2 linked regions of the Coturnix japonica genome follow. The protein of the gene in region 1 purifies or fractionates together with the protein of each later gene. This does not show direct contact. Links are inferred from orthologs where the notes say so. Each region holds a gene or a part of one and is shown on either strand. Other genes may lie near its edges. The genes, in order: RAB3GAP1 and VAPB.

Region 1 (3,916 bases):
TAGAGAGAAAGATCATGAAGTCCTTAATGGAAAACTCCTTAATAATGTGCCTAATATGAATTATGTGTGTGGACTTTTTCCATCTAGAGGTAAAAAACACTTTCAGCATTCATTATACATTTTATTACAAGTTATTCCTAACAGGTACTATCGCTGGCAATGGTTTGGGTTTGTTTGCTTATTTGTTTAGCTCATAAATACCCATTTTTAGTCATAAATGCCTTTTTTCCCTTGCACTTCAGCTCAGGGCTCTCAGTGGAGCTACTAATGGGAAAGCAGCCCAGTGTTACAGTGCAGCCAGTGGTAAGATGTAAGCAACAGATGGCAGGTACCAACTCTGTCCTTCAGAGTCCTTCAGGATTGGATTTGTATTTCCAAGTCGTGACAGAGCTCAGTGGAAACAAATGGCCCATGTAGCTCCTGCTGGATTTAGTATTTCGCCACTTACTGCTGGTCAGCAAAAGAACGTGGCCTTTGTTTCTCATTCCATCAGCAATAAGTACACAACAAGCCGTCAGCATACGGCAGCCTTCCCAAGAGACTCATCCGTTTACCCCAGATTAAATTAATCATAACAATTCTACATGTCACCACCCTACATGAGAGAGAAATATTGCTAACACCAAACAGTGCTGCACCCTGACATCGGGCAGTGCTGCCATTGGAGGTTTATAACAGAGGAAGCAGAAGAGAACCAAGATCAGGGACAACCGATATTGTGTGGAACTGCAGTGGAAAGCAGCACTTTTGATTTCTCCTTATGCTAAACAGCAGATAGCCCATCAGAAGGGCGATTATATGAGCCTGTTAAGGGTTATACGCTGAACTTTGCCAGACTTTCCCATTTTTTTGTATATATAGATATATATATTTAATTCAAAATAACAGCTGAACAAGTTCTCAGCTAGCCCTTACCGTGTGTTTCAGCAGCGAAGTGTGGCAGAGGCACAGATTCCACACACACCAACGTGCCGGTGGCGGCGGGGCAGCGGGCTCGGACCTCGTCTCTGTCCCTATCTCTGTTCCTTATCTCTGTTCCTATCTCTATCCCTGTCCCTATCCCTCTCTGTCCCTGTAGCTGTCCCAGCGGCTCGGCCGTTCCGCCGCGCTTCGTTTACACCGCGTTGCCAAGGCACCACAGCCCTCTCCCTTCTCTTTCAATGCTTCCTTTACCTCTACGTCATTTTCCCTTTACAGCCAACACCTCAGCGCTCACTATGGCCGGTACATTCTCATTAATTACTCTCCGTCCCTTTGCAGGCAGCCTTAAGGATTACGTTATTTATTTGTGTTATTTATGACGGAGAAATAGCATGAAGCGCGCACTGGGGTCGAGGCGCTGTGTGAGGAACCCGCCCATCCCGCGCAGCTTCCCGTCAGCCCTTGTGCATGGGGCGGGACGCAGGGCAAGATGGCGGCGGATAGTGAAGTGAGTTGTTTGTGTCCCCCCATCCCGTCCATCCCCAGGTCTCCCTCTCATTGCTTCTCTTGCTTCTCCCTCTCAATGCTTCTCCCTCTCAATGCTTCTCCCGCTCTCTCCCCGCAGCCCGAGTCGGAGGTGTTCGAGATCACGGACTTCACCACCGCCTCCGAGTGGGAGAGGTACGTGCTGCCGCCGGGCTGTGGCCGGCCCTGCGTTTACATAAACAAGTCCATTTTCCAGTGAGAATATCTATGATAGAAAAAGATTTTAAGGCCTGTGTTTAAATTTGAATTTAGATTACGTGTCTAATGTGGTTTTTATTTTTCTCTAAGCAGTGAAGCAGGATTCTGTTTTGTTGCAGTACCAGACAAACGTATAACATCAGTCTCAGTTCTTCCACTCATGTTGTCTTAATGTATGATCATACCTTGATCTGAATTAAACCCTGTGTTGGCCATAACTGGGACATTTTAATTTTAGCTGGTCGTACTTGAAACTCTTCGCAAAACCAATAAGTGGGGGTGAGGGAAGGGTGAGTAGGGGAGACAGAAAGTGTGTTCCTCTATGTTAGAAATTACCTTTTTGAGGAAAAAATCATGCTTGAAGTGTAACTGGAGCATTCAGCAGTGAAGCAGTTGGGCTCGTGGATCCCCAGAGGTCCCTTCCATCCTACAGTTGTGTGATTCTGTGAAAATGGGAGAGACTTTATAAACACTCAACACGTGTTCATTGCTAAACATAAGGCTTATCTGGGATGTGAAACTAAAAGCACCGCTTTGTTTGTACAGGGAAGCAGGCTATTTTTGTTGTGGTCCTTGGTATGTTACTGTTCTTTTTGCTTTGTTTTAAAGGAGTTCCCCAGTAGGACTACTTGTTGCCTGCTTTTGGGAGTTGAATTTACAACACGAGCTGAGCGAGCAATCAGGAAATATTAATACCTTTTTCCCTCCTTAATAGATTTATTTCAAAAATAGAAGAAGTGTTGAATGACTGGAAACTTATCGGGATTTCTTCAGGCAAACCTCTGGAAAAGGTCAGTTGGTCGGTTAGGGCTTCTATGGTGGTGATGGGCAGAGTAGAGGATGCATGTGCTTTAGATGTGCAGTTTCATGTGAAGGAAATATTTAACTCTTCATTGCCTAATAGCGCCGAGGACTTCTGTACTCGAAATAAAAGCAATTAACATAGATTTTAGCATTCCGCTAACTTTAAGTGCTTTGAGAATTATCTTCGTAGTAAACCATGACTAGCTGTAAAAAAAAAAGGAGAGAAAGGGGAACAAATATTAACCTGAATTTATGTGATCAAGTAATAGCTTTGCTTGTTGCTTTTGCTATTTCCAATCTGCAGGGTGTATACACCACAGGAACCTGGGAGGAGAAATCAGATGAAATTTCATTTGCAGACTTCAAATTCTCAGTTACACATCATTATCTTGTGCAAGAACCTGGAGACAGAGATGGGAGAGAAGAAGGTGTAGAAGGTAGCTGACAGTATTCTTTTGTGCCTGAAATGTGTCACAGGTGTTGTAAGGATATGACAGAAGACAATTTCAGAGTGCTGATTTGCATCTGTGTGAAATCTGGGGGGGGGATCTGATGGGCTGGACTTGACATTTCTGATTTTTACTACATCTTACTGTGAACAAATTGCTAAAGAAGTAAACTTCTGGTTATAGGGATGCTGATGGTCTTAGGTGTCACATCTTTTTGCAGATGCCCTTCCTCTGCCTATGCAGGACTTGCTCTGCATGAACAATGACTTTCCTCCTCGAGCTCACTGTCTAGTAAGATGGTATGTATGCTGCCTTTCTTCTTTAACACAGAGAAGCATAGCAATAGATTGTTTTTAGGTTTAATTACAGTTCTTACTAACCGTAGTAAGAAACTCAGGACTGGTACACCTGGAAAATCCTCCTAACATTCAGTAGTGTTTGAGCATTGTTGAATTCCTGTAGTGCTGTGATGATCTACAGTACTGCATTCCCAGTCAGATCTTGGCCTCTGTGAAGAAGTGACACACAGCAAAATAAGAGTCATATCCTGTTGGTGACAGTTGGATTATTCAGGTTATAACGTTTCTGACAATTCTGTGTTAGAGCTGGTTTATTGGAGCACACAGATATATTGCCTTTTCCCTGCTCTTTCTCTAAGGTACGGCTTACGTGAGTTTGTGGTTATTGCTCCAGCTGCAAATAGTGATGCGGTTCTTAGTGAATCAAAATGTAACCTGCTGCTGAGTTCTGTCTCTATTGCTTTGGGCAACACTGGCTGGTAGGTGAAAGCATGAACTTTTTTATATGCTCAGGTGAAACTAGCGTACTATTTATGTAGTTCTTCATTTCATTAGGAAGAAGTTTTTAGTTGTTAGTGAATTACATTGTGTTTCTTGCATTTGCACCATAATGCTGTTACAAAAAGCCTTTTAAATATCTCATCACTGTGACAATATAAATACTGATTCAGTATGTTATTTTTATTCACTGTTGTATGG
Region 2 (3,816 bases), on another chromosome or scaffold:
CTCAAGGGAAGAAATCAAGACAGACTACAAAGACACGCAATATAAAAGATATTGCATATCATGTCATATATAAAAGATACCACATGTCATATATATATATATATAAAATTACAACAACTTCACATGTTTCATAGCTTGGTGCACCATTACAAACAGCAGCCTTCCAAGGAAGCAACCGTGGTTGTGATAGCAATCTGCCAATGCTCTCAAGGAACATCCAGCCTGGTTTCCAAAGAGCCCTGAAGCAATGATGTCTTATGAATTACAGAAACAGAAATACATCCATTTTATTTACTTTCAATACTTACTACTGCTTCCATATCTGAAGTATCAGCTGGAGCAAACATAGACTGAACCATAAACTTGTGTTTACTTTTCTCATTGGGGTCATAGTCAAAAGGCTGTAGCATCACTGCAAGAAAAACCCCATAACGTTACGTTAATGTTGTTCTGATGCACAGTCATACACAGATGATTAGTTACAAGATTTGAGAAATACAAACATTAACATGATTGCAAAGTAGTGTATCTCTCTGACAAAGGAACAGCTGAGATCTGCAGCCCTACTTAAAATATTGAAGAAGTTAAAAGAAACAGAATTCTTCAGTCTGCACTGATTTCTGCCTGCAAAGTTTGGAACTGCTGAGCACAATGCAGTATTCTGTACATAAATACGGCGACATGATAGCAATTAATAGCAAACAGGGCAACATACAGATCTTCTGAGGCAGCAGGAAAGCCTCTCAATGAAAGAATCGGACAAACTTCAACAAAAATCCACATTTCATGGTCTGTGAGGCTCTCAATTCAACTGCTATGAACAGAAGCGGTTCAAGACGTGGGATTACTTTCAAGCATCATTGTTATTAACATGCACTGAAATTCACACACACCAATTGCAGGGATCTGCAGTGTACAGGTGTTATCCAAAGATCCCATTTATTGCAAATGAAGAAGAGCCAAACCAATCTGCCTCCTTCGATGAGCAGAATACGCGATGCCTGCGCCATTTTTACTGCACACACAATCTGTGGCCATCAACAACCACAAGCCTTTCAAAGCTGCAGGAAAAAGGAGACAGCGAATTGTCTCAAATGTGCAGTAAAATTCATGATACACTTTAACTGGCCTTACAATAATTAACTACTAGTCCAAAATAAACACTTCCATTTCAACAGGCTCCACGTAAAACTGTTCTTTCAAACAGAAATGACTGAACTGTGATGTGTATTTCAGCACTGCACAACATGTTGCTGAAAAGCAGAACAATCTTTTTGCCCCCCGTAACAGACACCTAACGCTTATTTCAAGTCTACATGATGTGCAAGAGCCAATGGGTACATGAAGCTATTTCACTGCTGAGGGAACTTCTCCAGAGCTGCAGTTGTACCAGTTTGCTTTGCTCAGTGTGACCATAAGCTCATTTGCAAATCATTATTTCCACAGTGATGGTGCTGAAACCATTCTTGAACACTGAGCAACTGCTGCTCTGAATTCCACTCACTGAATCACAACAGCAAGCAGCTAGAGAGGGCTTGACAGTATCAGCGTTGTTAGCACTTGTATTTTTAGATCAATACACGAAAGCCACATCGACACAAATTATTCAGCAAACGCCTTGTAAGCCAGATGGGAAGCTCAAAAATACTCCCTTTGTTCAAGAGGAAACCAAACCATTCAAAACCATTCAGCACACACTCTCGTACTATTGGGGGTTTCTGTGAAAGAGCAGTTATGGAAGTGCCCTAATTGTGACACAATTCACTACTGGGAGTACAGCTCCTTTGCTCTGACTGCCAATTGCAGACCTTACACCAGAATTACTCCTAAAAATATCTTTTCAAATCTTCTTTGCTGGTGCAATGTTACTGACCAGCTCCCACCAGAAACTGGTGTTAGAAAATAATTAACAGCAGATTCAGACAGGCCAGAACCAGCATCCATCAGCCAGTGGCTGCAATGCCCTCCTCGCCTCCACTGACTGCCCTACAGCTCAAACACCACAAGTGCTCTGTCATAAAATAAAACTGCAAAGCCACTGGGAGACCAATGGAATGAGGAATAATGTCTGTTGTATTTGCAAGACACGCCGCCTCTCAAAATTCACCTGAAGGACCAACCCCACATATATCCCAATCTGACATGTTTCAAATGAACGGGCACCAGTCTGCTCACACATTCCCACTGTATCTTCCATGTTTGATACGAACGATCTGCAGACGGTGAAGCAGAGTTGGTGATCAGCTAATGGTGAAGGTAATAACCATATCAAAGGCAGGGGAAAATTGAGGCAGGGAAGACATTATGCAAATGTGCTGTAAAAGCCTGCCAGGATCCGACCTTCCATTCCAAGAGCAGGAACGAACAGCCTCCCTGCTCAGATCATCAGCCTTCCTCTGGTTTCCATCTAAATTTATTAATGGCCTGTTCACTTGGTCTTGGACCAACACTGCGCTCACGCTTCAGTATCAAAGAAGGGGAAGAGTCCTTTACTTGTAGCATTCCAAGACATCAATCACAGTAACTCGTGGCCTCCTGGTAAACTAAACAAGCCAGACTTGGTCTGTCCTCTCTGAGTCAGGGCCCCCATTCATTCTCCACACCTGTTCTGGCTTGAATTCCTCTGTATGAGTTACTCTATGTATACAACCATGAAATTTTATTAATGACAACATTCACACTCTTATCTTTTCCACTGCCTAGTTTGTTTGCACACACTGCATTTGCCCTATTCACAGCCACATGATGTCAGCAACTTGGTCATCACTGATCAGTTACAATATCCTAACATCACCCACTTTGTTCAGAAAGCTTGCAATTATAGAAGAAGAAATCCAAGTACATGATTCTGCAGTTTTTATGACAAAACTCATCCTGTTTCTCTTACTGAAGCCTCCAAGGACACTCAGTTCTTGCTGCATGTCTTCAGCCTTTGAATTTTACATCATCGTAAGGGTTTTTAGTGTGCTGTCTTTGAGCCAGAACTGCTTACAAAAGCATTTAACAAGACTAATACCAAACATCACTAGCAATTTCTATTATCATTTGGAAGCCATACATCCACCGCAGTCCATGCTCAGCACTTGCCATGTTGGCCAATGAGGCCCAGGGGAGCAGCATATGGCTGGTGGCTGAGAAGGGGCAGAACTGCTGTGGGCAGCCCTGACCTGAAGGAAACACAACCCACCTCTTCCTAGTGAGGTAACTGCACAAAAGATCAGGGTACCTGACAACACAAGGATAACGTCAGCTCTCCCCATGCCCAGGAGTCTGCTTGGGCTGCTCTGTGCAGCAGGGCACACCATGCACCCTTCATCTCTCCGTTGTACACCTAGCTGCAGACATCAGCACCTGCTTCTAGTTTCTCACTCTTCATCTGGAATTCATTTGTATCTTTTATTTAGATTTCAACCTCTCGGAAGCCACAAAATCAGCTGTCTTTGTTCAAATAAGACACGTGTAACAAAAACAGAATGGGTGCAAACAGCCTTCTTTGCCAAGTACTTACAACCAAACGCAATCAAACAGGGTGACAGCACACATACACTTCCTGACAGTTACATAAACTCAGCTGTTAAAATTACACACCATTATATAACAGGTGAAAACATGGGCTACAAACCTGACTTTGCAGCAAGCAGTGCATGCTAACTGAGACTTAAATGCTGGTATTTAGGAGCAGCTGTGATAGGGCAAAAGAAGCCAGTATCCAACACTGCAGTAGAATAAAGAAAGCTTTGCTTTTCTAGCATTTTATGTGTGCGAAACGAGCCAAGACCTGGCATGAAATAATGTTCTGAGAGCAGCCTCTAAGGA

The links.
Region 2: the proteins of RAB3GAP1 (region 1) and VAPB purify together in Homo sapiens (affinity purification with mass spectrometry; 4 studies listed by BioGRID and IntAct, counting the BioPlex papers as one, with this or other methods). This does not show direct contact. The link is inferred for Coturnix japonica from reciprocal best matches to the Homo sapiens genes RAB3GAP1 and VAPB.

Annotation. Positions count from the first base shown.
Region 1 is NC_029522.1:27,696,889-27,700,804, forward strand, and holds the start of RAB3GAP1 (rab3 GTPase-activating protein catalytic subunit), read left to right. Parts: upstream 1-1,318; 5' UTR 1,319-1,411; coding exon 1,412-1,429; intron 1,430-1,546; coding exon 1,547-1,602; intron 1,603-2,001; coding exon of another isoform or gene 2,002-2,021; exon of another isoform or gene 2,022-2,347; intron 2,348-2,380; coding exon 2,381-2,456; intron 2,457-2,773; coding exon 2,774-2,906; intron 2,907-3,138; coding exon 3,139-3,217; intron 3,218-3,576; coding exon 3,577-3,696; intron 3,697-3,916. Other genes in the region: MAP3K19 (mitogen-activated protein kinase kinase kinase 19), read right to left, coding at 2,002-2,021. UniProt on the Homo sapiens protein: Catalytic subunit of the Rab3 GTPase-activating (Rab3GAP) complex composed of RAB3GAP1 and RAB3GAP2, which has GTPase-activating protein (GAP) activity towards various Rab3 subfamily members (RAB3A, RAB3B, RAB3C and RAB3D), RAB5A and RAB43, and guanine nucleotide exchange factor (GEF) activity towards RAB18.
Region 2 is NC_029535.1:10,106,057-10,109,872, forward strand, and holds part of VAPB (vesicle-associated membrane protein-associated protein B/C), read right to left. Parts: intron 413-3,816; coding exon 309-412; intron 1-308. UniProt on the Homo sapiens protein: Endoplasmic reticulum (ER)-anchored protein that mediates the formation of contact sites between the ER and endosomes via interaction with FFAT motif-containing proteins such as STARD3 or WDR44.